Astyanax mexicanus: one gene and its partner. The protein of the gene in region 1 interacts with the protein of each later gene in a biochemical or structural test. Links are inferred from orthologs where the notes say so. Each region holds a gene or a part of one and is shown on either strand. Other genes may lie near its edges.

Region 1 (8,480 bases):
AGCTTTCAGACCTCAAATAATGCAAAGAAAACAAGTTCATATTCATAAAGTTTTAAGAGTTCAGAAATCAATATTTGGTAGAATAACCCTGGATTCTCCACCAGTCTCACACACTTTATGCCACTCCTGGTGCAAAAATTCAGGCAGTTTAGCTTGGTTTGATGGCTTGTGATCATCCTTCCAGAGAGAAAGACAGAGAGAGAGAGGGAGGTATAAGGAGCAGATACACAGTGCACAGAAAGAGAGAGAGAGAGAGGTGGGTGGAGAGAGGCAGGGAATAGCAGTGTGATAGAGCTCCTCGTGCGCGCGCGTGAACCCTACCTCCAGAGCGTGAACGAGCCTCAGAGAGATAACACTGAGCTTCTCCGCTTCCTCTTAGATTAATATCGCTCTCATTCCTTCATATTAGTACCTGTAGCTTTAACCAGGCTTTAAATGAGCTGTCTGAGAGTCGCTGGAGGAGTTTGGGGAGCGGAAGTTCTTGCTGAAGGAAGGAGGAGCCGCTCGCTGCAGCCTGTAGGAAGGCGGAGTTGGACATCCAACCCCGCCCACATCCAACTCCGCCCATGTCCAACTCCGCCTTACGTCTAAAGCAACACCCACCTTACGTCCGTCACGAACGCCTACATTTACTCCAGGTAAACAGGAATTGTAGCCGAGAAAGCAGCTAAAGCATCTATCTGATTTATATCTCCGGTTATGGCGGTAAGTACAAATATTGAGTTATTTTTTAAGTTAACAGAGCTATTTTTATAATGTCCTCTTGTTTTTCTATATTATATTTTATGAATAAACGGTGAGTCGTTGATACGCACATGAAGGTTCTACATCGGCGCGTGTACCATGTGGTTTGTTTGCTTCTAATCATATTGCCGTTTTTTTTTTGATGGATTCTAATGCAGAATTGCACCCAGTCTTGTCTAATTCAAACTTTAGTTATCTTACCTTCTGTTTTATGGGCTAAAATGCTACCAATTAATGGTATCACAGATAAACTCTCATAGCTAGTAGTGAGCTAGGCATCAGTTTTGTTTTAGGCATAGCTAGGGGTCATAGTCAGCTAACCTAAAAAACTGTTTAAACTGTCTATACAAGAAGTTAATTGGCTAACAAGATAGCAAGATAATCTAGCTAACTAAAATTGGTTCAAAGTCTTAGTCATACAAATAAATATTTGAAGATATCAATGCTTAATCCTCCTATTTAATTTGTCAGGAATAGCAATGGTATTCCCGGGTTAATTTGACCTGGTTCATTTTTAATTATCCAAAATATTTCTGAAACCAAAATAATCCTAACCAGAAGAGTAAATATTTAATAACTAACTCCATTGCTGATTGTTCTATCAACATTTAGTACAATAGTGTACAATAGAGGTAATAGTTCAATTAGGATAATTCACTTGTTTTTCCATTTTAAAAAATCTTACTTTTTTTTTTTGTTTTACTACTTTGTTACTTTTAAACGACCAACACAATATTTTTACATATAAATGAAACATAACATTACAATTTCGTTTTAGTTTTTGCAGGGGGTTGTTGCAAATATGAAATTAACCATTTTCATGTTATATGTTAATTATACAAATAAAGGCAAGCTGAAGACGTTTCATACAGAAAAAATACTTTTACTATCTTTCTAAATGGATCAATTTGACCCGTAACGTAACAGGAGGGTTAAGTCGATGCACATTTATTACCTTTGTACTGAATGTAGTTACAATTAATGTGCACCGATATAGTAATTGTAAGCTCATGTTGTGTTTTGTTGCTTTCTGTTTTACAGCATCCAACACATGTCCAGGCCACTCCTGACCCTTCACGGTTTGGCCAGTGTGGTGTTTTCAAATGCCCCTGCTTACAGTTTCCTTCATCTCTAAACTGCACACCTACAGCACACTTTTATTGTGTCTATTGCAGCCATACAATACTATGCAAAGACCAGTTCAGACATCATGTATCTCTGTGCAGCAGTGCAACCAAGACCATTATAGCAGAAGTGTTTAATCCACAGACTGTTGCTACTTCTGATGCACGTCCAGCTCCCCCTCTGCCAGCTACTCCTGATACACCTTCTCCCAGTTCTGGTCTTGCTTCCTCTGTGCATGGTATTAATTATATTAATTATTATATTTTCCCTCAGGAAAGTTCAGCGTGTTGAACGTGTGACTGATGAAGGAGATAGAATGGGCAACGTCTCCTTTGAACAGGTGTGAGGGTGTGGATGTGTGTTTTTTTTTTATTTCGGGTTAATTTAACTGGGCCATTTAAAATGTTTTACTGTTGTGGTTTGTTTTCAAAAGTCTGAATTGGGCTGAAAAGATAAGTTGACATTATTTGAAATTTCAACTTGACCTAGTGTTGACTAGTCATTTCAAGGACATTTGAAGCCCATAAGCTATTGGAGTGCTATCATTTTAAAGGGATAGAAAAGCAGAGAGCTGTTTTGTTACGTTAAGGCAGAGATTAGTCAACAGAATGAGGCTGACTACAGTCTTCAGGCAAAAATGCTAGCCATTCCTACAGTAATCAGAGATTGGGGATATGATTGAAATAATAAGTGCCAACTCAGATTAATAGAATACCAAAATAGTAATTGGTTGCAGCCTTAGAATGTTATCTGGTCATTTTTTTCAATTACTATAATTTTCATGAATCAAAATCTACATGCTTCTATAATGTTTTTCACAGATGCCCCTTATTCTCATAGATACAGTTCTGGATGAGGGTGACAAAGCTTTTTTAAAGCTGTCACTGGTTTGTCGTCTCTTCCGGGACATTGTTTGGACAACAATCATTCCGGGCCCGGGCACATTTCGAGTGGCTTGACAGTAAGCATGATATTTCAGTACAGTTAAGATGTTTGTTTTCCCTTAGAAAAGGAATTACACTCACTGATTTTGAAATCATTTTAAAATTCTTGATTTTTTTAAACCTACAGGTGTAGTGCCATGAAAACATCACAGTGCTGCATGTAAAGACGAGTTTCGCAGGATGTACGAACTGCAGTGCTGCCAGAACTGTCAAGAAACTTATAAAGACTACATACTGGGTATGTTTGTTCTAAATAAATTTTGATAATTTTTTCCTGAGGTCAGAAATTGGTAAGTCAATATATTTAAGGTATTGGGGCTTGGGAGATTGTTACTTTGTGAAAGTGTGTGTTTTTACTTATATTACAGGCTACGTTGGGCATGGGAGACGAGGGGAGCTTGTGGCATTTTACAGCGAAAACGAGCACCCTGGATTCTGCAGCCAGCTTCATGAATGGCTGGGTGTGTGAGTGGCTGGGTGTGTGAGTGGCTGAGTGTGAGTGGCTGGGTGTTGCATTTTTAAATAAAGACTTCTGTATTTGTTTGACCAAAGCATGTAACCAAACATTTTAAAGGCTAGTGTGCCAATAAATGCCAATAAAGATATTGTATTAGCTTGGACAAAGTGTTTGTAAATGGAGTTAATTTCCCTGGGAACTACTGTCAGCCATACAAAATTGGGAGAGGAGAAGCAGGAGAGGGATATCATTATTATTATTATTATTATTATTATTATTATTATTATTATTGACAAAATAGCTATGTATACATATATTTTAATTTCTGAAACCACAGCATTTGATATATTGTACTCTATCGTTATACACTATCCAGCATACCATTATTACCACCTGCTTGTTTCTGCTTCTATTATTCTTTTTTTAGCTCCAATTAGCATCTAGGACACTTTAGTTGCATAATGGTTTACTGGTGTATAATATACAATAGGTATAAAACACTGTTCACTCTATTAGACACTTCTACCAACAGCTGCTTTACATTGTGAGTGAAAAGTCAGAGACAGAATCTTTAAATCTGTTGCTGCACAGTTTGTTGCAAATCTGCAAATTCTTCATCAGTGCCCATGGGATGCTGCCTACTTGATGCTGAATACAGGACGCTGCCCACATGATGCTGGTTGATGGAGCATTTCCTGTCCAGTAGTGACAATGAGGTGTTTAAATTCTCCAGAGGCACTACTTTGTCGGATCCACTCATACCAACACAGCTCTTAACACCACTATGTCAGTGTCACTGTAGTGTTGTGAATAACCAACAAGCCACATAATAGCTGCTCTGTGGTGGTCCTAAATTGTATGCTATACAGTGCAGCTGTGTCATTCTCATCTGTAATATTTTCAGCACCCTGTTGACAGTGAAGATGCAGAATTACTTCTAATATCATTATTATATATTAGCTATGCCTATGACACAAATAGCCTTCCCCCTGCTGAGTGGTGATAAGAAGCACTGTCTATCTGTAATATGAAGTATAGAGCATTACAGTACAGAGAACAGGTGTGATCTAACAATCAAACACTTTAATAATCAGATGCACCCTTTGACCAGCCTCTACCAGTGCAAAGCCATGATTGATAATGTGCTCTTTATTTCATATGGAACATAACCAAAAACTGTATATCGTAAGTTTTAACTTTATATAATAAGTAAATAATGATTCCTATGATAGCTAATCAATAATTCTGGAGATATTTACCAGTCTAAAATAAATTTATAAAATCTACACACTCTGGCAACTAGTTTAACAAATTTAAATGTAAGGATTAATGCAGTGAAATAATGGCTTACTCTGCTGGTGAGTGGGACAGATTAATGTATTGTGATATACAGGACAGAGGCAATTGATCTTTTGGAAACAGCAAATCGTTGTATGCAATTATTTGCTTATTGTATAAAATAAAGGAGAAATGGCACACGTGATGAAAAAGAAGAGTTCCCTCTGTTACACAGAATGAGTTACCAGCCTCATAAACCACAAGTTAGCAGCATGCCATATAAGAAAAACAATAAAATCATACACTTTTAAGTTCACATGATTCCTTATGTATTACTTTATTTACAATGTTAAACCAAAAATGAATGAGAAAGTGTTTCCAAACTTTTGGCTGGTACTGTATATATAGCCTATTTTTTGTGATATCTGTGCATTACACTACAGCATGTGTTGTGCTGTAGCCAAGGCTACGTGGTGGAACTACTCACAAGATATGCGTAAATTTAGCGCAACATCGGCGTTATATGCGTATTTCACGTGGCACACAGTGCTTCTTGAACAAAAAAGTAGGGGGGTTGGCGTACAAGAGCACATGTGGGCGGAGTTGGATGTGGGCGGAGTTGGATGTCCAACTCCGCCTTCCTACAGGCTGCAGCGAGACGTACTTGGAAGGAAGTGTGAAGAAGTGAGAGAGAGAGAGAGAGAGAGAGGGGGGGGGGAGGAGGAGGAGAGGAGGGGGACTCGCGTGTTGACTAGAGTCTGGGTTTTATTTCAAAGGAGCGACTCCAGCACTCGCTACAAGATGGACACTCTCGTCAAAGAGGGGCAACTTTATGTCCAGCACCAGAAGTTCGGCAAGGTAAGCTGCTCTGTTCTTCCCTCCAGACTTCAGCCTCCCCCCACACTCTCCGTCTGCTGCTCCAAACACCGCGTTGGCTGAGGTTATTTACATCTTAGATAGTCTCAGACACACTTCCACACACTCTCTCAGTAAACTTGAACTAGAACTGTGGTAATAATGGAAGTTCACCAGAACTAAGCTAAACTGCGTGTTATTTACATCTAGATAGTCTTAGACACACTCTCTTAATAGAGTTAAAGAGCTGTGGCAATAATGTAAGGGCACCAGAACTGAGGTAAACTGCGTGTTGCTGCAAACACCAAAGACATTGTCTTAAGTTATTTACATCTAGATAGTCTCAGACACTCTCTCAGTAATTTTAAAGAGCTGTGGTAATAATTTAACAGCACCGGAACTGAGGTGAACTGCGTGTTGCTGCAAACACCAAGGACATTGTCTTAAGTTATTTAGTATTTACATCAGGATTGTCTCAGACACAGTTTTGTTCACTCTCTCAGTAGTGTTATAGAGCTGTGGTAATAATGTAAGATCAGATAGATAGATAGATAGATAGATAGATACTGTGGTAATAATGTAACAGCACCAGAACTTAGATGAACCATGTGTTGCTGTAAACATCGAGGACATTGTCTGAGGTTATTTACATCCAGACTGTCTCAGACTCACTTCTATTAAGGGTGGATATTTACAGAGTTAGCAGAGTTGGACAAATTCATATCCATCTGATGTCACTTACAAGTAAATAAAGCTACATCTCTAAAAGCAAGGGTGTATGAATATATAAAAGTATCACAGTATATTGACACCAATATATGGTATGTATCGTATCGCCAAGTTCTTCCCAAAAAACTGCTCTACTAAAAACAAGCACCAAAACACTACATTAGTACTGAGAAACTTATAGCACTGTACTTTTATTAGTACATTTCTGTATCTCTCAGCACAGACGCTGACGTTCATAAGGTGCACTTGTGGTCTAAATAAAAAAAATAAATTGTAAATCAGTACAAACAACCTGGCATGAATCTGACGACTAATGTGTTAAACACAAGTAAAATAATTTAATCACAAGAGTACTTCTGTTAAAGTAGCATTATTTAAAAATACTCAAGAATTTATAAAAATTAACACTTGAGTACATATAGCTAAGTAAACATTCCTGAGTAAATGTAGAGCTAGGTTAGTCACAGTATTTGGGTTATTGATTCATCATTATACAGTACGTAATGTAATGTACACAATGAATATCTCTACCTGCAAATCACTTCATGCACCGTGTTCTAAAATGAACATCAGTTGGGGAAAAATTTGAAAGCTGTTTCTTGAAGTAAAATTTTGTTAAAAATACAAAAGTAAAAGTACAAATCCATTAAATTCATATTAGAAAACGTGTATCTGCGTAAATTTAACAAGTTGCTACACACTTCTATTTATGTGTAACGTTTGACTGAATAATTCCACTCATTAAAAAAAAAAAACAGAAGTTCAAGAACTCATATCAGTTAATCATAACACATATCTGTAACCATGAGGTCTCGCTCCATTCTTCTCTTTCCTGTGACATGAGATAGTCACATGAATGAGCAGCACAGTCAGACACACACCACCAGCACGACTGCCCTCTGTTTTGGACGTTGCTGTTTACAAAAGGAAGCTTGCATGCTCGAACACAGCGTTCAGGAAAAGCAGTTATTTTCACTGTCGGATATTTAGGTGTAGTTCTACAAAAAAAATTGTATCCAACAGACACACACACATAACTCTTTTCTCACGCTCTGCAATCTATTAATTCACTTACACTAAATTTACAAACGTTTGAAAATGTGTTGCCTTATCTTTTCACCAGAAGCACAAATAAAAAGTGTAAAAATGCTACATCACCTAAACATCTCAGTTCATGCAGGCTAAGCACACTGTGTTAAGCCAGTTTGCTTTTACCAGTATTTCACACTGACATGAATCATGTGACACTCAAATCTCAAGTCTCTAAAATCATAGCCAGTGGCTCTACTTCAGGCTTAGTATCTATTCTTATAGCTTCCTTAATGTGTCTCTTGAAACTATTCTCCCTATTTGGCAAAGGAAAAGTATGAGCAAACAATTTCACATTAGTAACCCTGAGGCAACAGATAAGAGTCATAGCTGCTGTGAAGACCTGTGGATATCGACGTTGTCACACAACAAGCTTTTATTTTCAAAACCTGACAGGAGAAAATAAAATCAAATTTAAAAGTTATTTTTTTATGTGTTTCTTTATGGAACATTTTGCCTTTTGTTTTCTTTAACTTTTTAGCAATTAATTGGCTTTGTTGGATGAGCAAGAGAACAGTTGTGAGTTTGGAACTGCTTACTAGACTCTGCTTTAGGCCAGTCACTGACCTCCTGTGTTGGGTCTTCTGAATTCAGTCAATGTGGATGATATTTCTGCCAGAGTTCTGTTCGCATGGACAGTTTACTTAGTAACCAGTCATTACTTTCTATATGATATATTCCTGATGTGGGTCAGGGAATGTAAAATGCCTGTACAACTTCAGAAATGCAATGTGCCATCTATTTGGCACCCACTATTAGACCTTGCTCAATATCAGACTGATCAAATACATATGTGTGTTGCATTTGTAAGTTTCCCTATTTGATATGATGAGTTATCTTACCAATTTACGTCAGACTGAGTGTAAACAGCAATATTATTTGGCTCAGAGCGGTGACGATTTTAGGAATGGTTAATTCTTGCTTTTAGCTAGTGGAGATGGTACAGTTTTGCATTTTAGTGAACAACGGTTCCTTATTTGTTTGTGAAAAATGTATGTAAAAATGTTAATGTATATTTCTTTGAAATAACAATTTTCGTTTGTGTTGTTCCCATTTTGTTTTTGGGACATTGGCCTATATTTAGTCTATATTTGGTCCCATCCTATCACCCTTAGACTCTGGGTCCAGATAAAGCTGCTTTATGACAATGTGCATTGTAAAAAAGTTTTCTACAAATGAAAGCTGATTTGAAATGAATTGATATATACCGATACGTAGGCTGAGAAAAAATGCCTGCTTAGCTGCTAAGCTGGGACAGA
Region 2 (8,104 bases), on another chromosome or scaffold:
ATTTTGAACCGAAATGTAAACTCATTAAACCGGCCAGAACAAAAATGATGGTACCCCTGAAAATAATATATACCTTTTTGTTTGTCGACCCCGGTTCCTCCTTTTCCCAAAGAACCAAAGGAACCTAAGACTGAATTTCTGGTTATAAAAACTGAACTTCTGGTTATACCCGTGAAACTCAGAAAAATTTGACTGTTTCTAATGCAACAGGCCACCCAACTCCTGGTACAAGCAGTGGTCATCTCACGCCTCGACTACTGCAATGCCCTACTAACTGGCCTCCCGGCCTGTGTAGTAAAAACACTCCAGATGATTCAGAATGCAGCAGCACGTCTGGTCTTCAACCAGCCAAAACGGGCACATGTCACTCTGCTGCTCACTGAGCTCCATTGGCTACCAGTTGCTGCTCGTATCAAATTCAAAGCTCTTACAATCACCTACAAGGTGATGACAGAACAGCTCCTTCCTACCTGCACTGATCACTCCTGAAGGCTTACGCTACCTCCTGGCCGCTGCGCTCCTCCAATGAACGCTCTGCTCTGCCAAACATTCACACAAAGCAATCCAGACTGTTCTCATACAGAGTTCCCCAATGGTGGAACAAACTACCTTCCACTACCAGATCAGGAGAATCTCTCGCTTTCTTTAAGAAACTCCTGAAGACAGAGCTCTTCAAAGAGCACTTAATCTCTTAACACCTCTAACAAACTAACTACTTCTAACCTCATTTCCTTCTTCCCTTCCTTCACTCCTCTATCCCATTATTTTTCTTTGATCTCCTTTAGGCCCTATCTAAAGATGTTTTTTCCTTTAACTTCTATTACTTTGGCAATTCACTATTGTAATTCGCTTTGGACAAAAGCGTCTGCCAAATGTAATGTAATGTCCACAACCACCTTATACAGTCCCCTTTTAGTTCTGGGAAGCTGTTGATTTTGTTTCCTCTTCTCCCGGTTTATAAGGGGCGGCCAGGCTTCTCTGGACAGCTTTGTTTAGTTACCCCTCGCTTGCGCTCGGCGCAAGTTTGTTTCTGCCCTTTTTAACAGTTCTCGCGCTCTACGCGATTCCTTTTGCGCCTCTTCTCGGGTCTCCATCGGTTTACGGGTTTTTGTTTTCTGCCAGTTTTCCAGTTTTTGTTTTCCAAATGGGTTGGGTTCCTGTCAAGTTTTTACCTGCTTCATATTCTGCTCCTCTGCACTTGGGTTCTACAACCTTCTAGCCTAGCTAGTTCTTCTGCTGTCCATCTTTGCTTTCTAAAGCAGGCTGCTGGTAGTAGGCGGTCAGTCAAAAAGCTTGGAGATCAGCCAATAGCATTGCGCTGAGAGAGATGACGCTGACTCCGCCCCCAACTGTCAAAACCATAGACGTAATATACATATATACATGTTGCATATTTCAAAGTATTTCAGCATGAAAGCACGTACTTTTAAGCACGTACTTTTAATGTATGACAGCGTCCTGTATCATATCTACATCTTTGCTGTTTGTGACAAACCAAACTGCGTAAAAATCGCTTAAAAGTTGTGATTAATATAGCTGTATGAAACACCTTCCTCAGTACAAATTAACGCACTTGAGGTGCATGGGAGACCCAATCAATATGGCCGCAGGCATTGCACATAGTGTGCGAGGACAACTGTGAATAATACAAGGAAAAAAACATTGAAAAGTAGAAAAATTAAGCTTAAGAGTGATATTTTTTTTCAGAGAGCATACATTTTTTTGTGCTCACGAGTTTCACAATAACCTGGTGTTTTTGTGCCCCGACTTTTGACATTAATGTGACGCCATAATATCATCTTGATGCTCTCAGAAACAGTAGCTGGACTCTGCAAGGATTGGAACAGGATAGACATGGTGCTAACAGTCTGTCTTTACAGAGTTGGAACAGAATAGCCTTAATGCTAAAAGGCACAGGGTTGGAGCAGAACATCTGCAAATCTAACAGGCAGCAGGACTGTAGCAACATAGCAGTGATGCTCACAGACACAGCAGCTGTAATAGTCCTGTTGGAGCACAACTGCTATAAATCTAACAGCTAACAGGGCTCACCATGATTAAAGCAGAATAACCCTGGTGGTGAAGCAGGTTAGCTGTGATGCTAACAGGTACAGCAGTTGGGAGTGGCTGGAGCAGAAGAGCTGGTGGTAACGTTGTAAAGTGGAAAGAAAATCCAGAAAATTAAGTGCTGTGTACAAAAGTATTCATCCCCCCTGAGTCAATACTTTGTGGAACCATCTTTTGCTGCAAGTATTTTAGGGTTTGTCTCCACCAGCTTTGCACATCTACTGACTGAAATTTTTGCTCATTCTTTCGTTGCAAAACAAGCTCAAGCTCAGTCAGATTAGTTGGAGAGCGTTTGTGAACAGCAGTTTTCAGATCTTGCCACAAGTTCTCAATTGGGTTTAGGTCTGGAATTTGACTGGGCCATTATAACACATGAATATGTTCCAGTTTCAAGTCTTTTGCAGACTCCCAACAGGTTTTCTTCCAGGATTGCCCTGCATTCCTTCATCCATCTTCCTGGCTTCATCCATCTTCCCATCAACTCTGACCAACTTCCCTGTCCCTGCTTAGATTACACACAGGTGGACTCTTTTTAGTTCTTAAAATAACTGAATACCTTTGCACACCACACATTTCAGTTTATTTGTAAAAAAAAATTTTTTAAATCATTCATAATTGTCTTTCCACTTCACACTTGTTAACCACTTCGTGTTGGTCTTTCACATTAAACTCTAATGAAATATATTTATGTTTGTGGTTGTAGTGTGACAAAATATGAAAAAGTTCAAGAGGTATGAATTCCTTTGCAAGTCACTGTATGTGATGTGTATATTGTGTTCCTTGGCAGCAATAAATGTTATGTTGATTTAAACAGCATAATTCACTCATAAAAGGCCAAACCTCACATAGAATAAATCGTTGATAAACTGTTTAACACACAACACTACTGTACTTTTGGAAACTATAACACTATAACACAAAACCTTCAGTCTTAAAAATCAGGGTTCTTTATGTACTTTACTTAGAACCATGACAACCAATTGGAGGGTTCTATGAAAAAAGTATTATACTGTTGTAATATATTGCACAGGACCCTTTTCCAGTACTGTATGACAACTCAAAGAACCATTTGAGGAGTTCAATATAGCATTTTAAACAAGTTCCAAATAGTGTTGTATGTTAAAATCCCTTATTGAGTACTACTAAATAAACCCATTTTAGAGCTTCCTGTATAACACCATTAATACCTAGAACTCTTCATTGGATTTATGCTTTATTCTGATGTAATCAAGCACTGCTTAGTCTGGTGTTGACCTCTTGACCCCCCCTAGGTCTTGTTTAACAAGGAGATTCATTTTAGAGAAGTGTTCTCTACAGGCACAATCTGGTGCTAAAACCTCTCTTCCTATTTTATTCTCTTCCTGTTTACCAGTCTGTAGCCTGTCTGTTGTTCTCATGGTTCACAGGTTTAGCTGTGAACTCAGTTTAATAAATGAAACAAAGTGGTCTGAGCCACTCACACATACTTTGCTTGGATCTACTGATCCTAATTATAAACTGAATTAAATTATATTTTAATTAGTGCTTTTAAAGTAAATTGTATAAGATCAGTACTGAATCTGCAGTGAAATTGACTAAAATAAACAGAATCACAGTGCTGAATGGAATCAGTAGTAAAAGCTACTAAAATATATCAAATCACAAGTGTTGAACCTCATGGAATCGTATGAGTCCTGAACTAAATCATATCAGACAAATATTGAAGATTCAGGGTTGAATGTGAATGAACGCAATCGTATGTACAAAGAAAAAATAAATAATGGCAGATATATAATGAAACTGAATTGAATCAGAAGTCCTGAAGTTGATTGTCTCTTTAGTAAATTGGTAGTAAAAAGAACTAAACCGAATCAAATCATGCTAAAAGTGCTGAAACGGAATTGTGTTTGGTTAATACTGAATATATATATTTTTTTATTTAACTAAACTGAATCAAATCAAGTTTTTAACTGAATCTGAAAACAGTAATGCAATAATATGAATGTAACAAAACTGAATCATATAAAATCCTGAAACGAATCAAATGAGATCATAATGTAATAGTATGAATTTTACTAAACTGAATCAAATCATGTCATCATCATCAAGTCCTGAACTGAATCATATAACGTTAGTAATGGAATAGCAGGAAATTAATGAAAATGAATCAAATTATATGCCTCTTAAATTGAGTTAGATCAATAGTGAATCAAATCATAACAGTGCTAACAGAATAGTAACAGATCTGCACAGAATCACTGAAGTGCAGGACTGAATCCTGTCTTTAACAGTGAATCGGTAGTGAATCTATCTAAACCAAACCTTATTATAGTCATTCATTTGTCTTATCCACTTCCTCATGGAATTGTAGGAGTGCTGAACTGAATCATATCAGACAATATTGAAGATTCAGGTTGAAAGTGAACAAAAGGGTATGAAGAAAGAAAGAAAGGCAGGTATATGATGAAACTAAACTGAATCATAAGTCCTTAAGTCAATTGTTTCTTTAGTAAATTGGTAGTAAACTGAACTGACTAAAATGACTCAAATTACATACATCTTAAACTGAGCTATATTAGATTAGTAGTGAATCATTAGCCACTTTGAAGTGAATCAAATCCTAACAGCGCAAACAGAATTGCAACAGATCTGCACTGAATCACTGAAGTGCCGAGCTGAATCATGTCTTTGAATTGATAGTGAATCTAAACCAAATCTTATTAAAGTCATTCATTTGTCTTTTCCACTTCCTCGTGGAATCGTATGAGTGCTAAACTGAATCATATCAGACATGTATTGAACATTCAGGATTGAATGTGTGTGAACCGTATGAATCATATAAACAAAGAAAAAGAGTGAAAGAAAGAAAGAAAAAAAAGACAGGAACTGCAGAGTCTCACATTTGTTAGTCAAAGCAGAGGCAGCGTGGAGAGACGTCACCGACACACACACACACACACAGACCGCAGGTGGCAGAGACTTCCTGGACAAAAGAATCCGTCAGCACTGAGCTGCGGTCAGTCTTTGTTTCCTGGTCATAGCGAGTGTGTGTGTGCGCGCGCGCGTCTGTGTGTGAGAGAGAGAGTGAAAGAGAGTAAGTGTGTGTGAATGTAACTGAGCTGACAGTTCAGACGGAGCGGACACGGTACTGGACAGTCAGCCCGGCTACCGGACACAGAACACAGGTAAACACGGCTTCATTTCATTCGCGTGTGTACGTGTTTCCGAAGCGCGCGTGTAAAGAAGTGATTGCTCAAAGCTGTGCTTTACACTCACACACTGTCGCAACGCAGCGGAGTTCAGAGTTCAGCGGCTGGAACTCAACGGTGGAAGGACGGTTAGTCTGTAACGGCTCCCGTGACGGTTATAGAACTCAGACACGCGTGCGGGAAACTCACTTTTAGGACGAGTTTAAATGTTTAAATTTTTAAATATTTTGGAATGTTTGACGGTTGGTGTTTTAACGATTTTATAATGTTTAGTTCTATCAGCTCTCTCACTTTATCTGACCAATCAGAGCATAGGCCTTCCAGTGTGTTAAGCGTCAACTTTCACACACTGTAAACCCACAAGTTTGTTTCACAAGAAATTAGATATTTCTTAACATTACTGCTCAGTGTAAGGTTTATCAGTTGGGTGTAAAACGTATTATTTAATTTTTTGTCTGAATGTATTTTGTCCATTTAGCATTATCAGGAAGAAACTGGTTCATATATATATATATATATATATATATATATATATATATAATATATACTTTTCTTCTTTTTAATTTCTGCCTGACCTGGATCTGAATTACAGGAAAAAATAAAATACATCTTACAAAATGTTTTAAGTTTAACATTTTTTCAGTAGGTTGGATTATTATACCATCAGGTTTTTATTATAAAGTATAAAACTTGTAAAAATCAAAAATCTGAATAGAAATCTTTTTTTTTTTCATGTATATCTGATCATGATGAGCAGAAATGGAAAATTTTGATTTTGAAATTTGAAATAATTAAAAACCCAAATTCATCTTTAATATATAGAATGGAAAACATTAAATTATGAAGTTTTACACACAATTTTCTATTTTCAAATTTAGCCTGAAACGTTTGGAAAATCAAACTGATAACCGTCACACTGAACATTACTTAACTATTTTGAGTTAGCTGAACATTTGTGAGCACATATACATTCAAATGGAGATCTTTTGAGTTGAACCAACTTACCAAATTTTTTGCATTATAAGGCACATCAATAAGCATATATTTTCTGGCCTATTTTCATAGATAAGGCGCACTGAATTATAAGGCGTATTATGTGTCACTAGTAAGTGTGACACATAACAGGGGTTATAACAGGGGTGTCGCCATGTTTTCCTTCTAATTCAGGTGGTGCGAGACCTCTAAAGCTAAGCTTAGTTAAGTAAACAAAACTGTAGTTCTTTTAAAATCAAAGAAGCACTGGATGTTAATCTACACCGATTACTCTTTTAAAAAACTGTTTATTTGGGTGAGTAATGGGCTTTTGTTTATTTACATTAAGCTTAGATTTCCAGATTTCCACCAATGCCACCTGACAGAGCTACACTGAGGAACCTTGAGTGTTCCGGTAAGATAGGGTGATATTAGCTAGCGGTTTGTCCCATTAAGCTTTTTTTAACCTGGTAAACATGCAGACTACAGTCCGTTATACTCACCCCTATACGGCAAAAGAGCTAGCACTTAGCACGGTTAGTGGGTAATGCAAATGCTGCTCCAGCAGTGCTAGCCGGGGTTAGGAGCAGGCTACAGGCTGATAATACTCACCTCTGAATGGCAAAAGAGGCTAGTGCTTAGCGCGGTAAGTGGCTAATGCAAATGCGGCTCCAATCTCTGTGCTGAAACTCCTGTATAACACTGTACTTCTGCGGAGTGGCTTTACTGCTCCTTACAACCTGACTGGTAAAATGCATACATAAGGCTCATCGATTTCAAAGGCGCACTGATAATTTTTTTTAAAGCATTTTCTCTTTTAGTGCAAAATATATGGTATAATAAGTTGAGTTTAGTCTATTGCCACTGGCAGCTTCTTTTTTTTACATTACATTACATTACATTTGGCTGACGCTTTTGTCCAAAGCGACTTACAATAGTCAAGTACAAAAGTAATAGAAGTTAAAGGCAAAACATTTTAGATAGGGCTTAAAGGAGGTCTAAGGGAAATAATGGGATATAGGAGTGAAGGAGGGGAAGAATATGAGGTTAGAAGTAGTTAGTGTGTTAGAAATGTTAAGAGAGTAAGTGCTCTTTGAAGAGCTCTGTCTTCAGGAGTTTCTTAAAGATAACGAGAGATTCTCCTGATCTGGTAGTGGAAGGAAGTTTGTTCCACCATTGGGGAACTCTGTATGAGAACAGTATGGATTGCTTTGTGTGGATGTTTATTGGAGGAGCGCAGCGGCCGGGAGGCGAGCATCAACTGGTCGCCAGTGGAGCTCACTGAGCAGCGGGGTGACATGAGCCCGTTTTGGCTGGTTGAAGATCAGACGTGCTGCTGCATTCTGGATCATTTGGAGTGGTTTTACTACGCAGGCCGGGAGGCCAGTTAGTATGGCATTGCAGTAGTCGAGGCTTGAGGTGACGACTGCTTGCACCAGGAGTTGGGTGGCCTGTCAGAAACTGTCTAATTTTTCTGATGTTATAAAGTTCGAAGCGGCAGGATCGAGCAACCGAGGCCACATGGTGCGTGAAGGAGAGCTAGTCATCAACCATAACACCCAGGTTCCTAGCAACCTTTGTCGGTGAGAGAGAGTCGATGCTTATAGAGAAGTTGTGTTGAAAAGATGGTTTTGCTGGTATGACCAGAAGTTCAGTCTTTGAGAGATTTAATTGAAGGTGATGCTTTTCCATTGGCTTTTGGAACAATCTATTTCTATTCTGGGTGTATCCTCCATTTTTTGACTCTCACCATCAGTGTGTAGTGATTCCCCCCTGGCTACCTTAGGTATATGTGTAGATCATATTTTATGATTAACTGTCTGCCGTCTGTGTTGTAGACTGTAAGAACAAGGATCATTTTAAGAGCTGCAGTAACC

What was found.
Region 2: of the proteins of dok1b (region 1) and tec, one has a biochemical effect on the other in vitro, tested with the Homo sapiens proteins (2 studies listed by BioGRID, with this or other methods). The link is inferred for Astyanax mexicanus from reciprocal best matches to the Homo sapiens genes DOK1 and TEC.

Annotation. Positions count from the first base shown.
Region 1 is NC_064415.1:19,729,926-19,738,405, reverse strand, and holds the start of dok1b (docking protein 1b), read left to right. Parts: upstream 1-5,252; 5' UTR 5,253-5,349; coding exon 5,350-5,406; intron 5,407-8,480. UniProt on the Homo sapiens protein: DOK proteins are enzymatically inert adaptor or scaffolding proteins. They provide a docking platform for the assembly of multimolecular signaling complexes. DOK1 appears to be a negative regulator of the insulin signaling pathway.
Region 2 is NC_064420.1:25,653,160-25,661,263, forward strand, and holds the start of tec (tyrosine-protein kinase Tec), read left to right. Parts: upstream 1-4,342; 5' UTR 4,343-5,231; intron 5,232-8,104.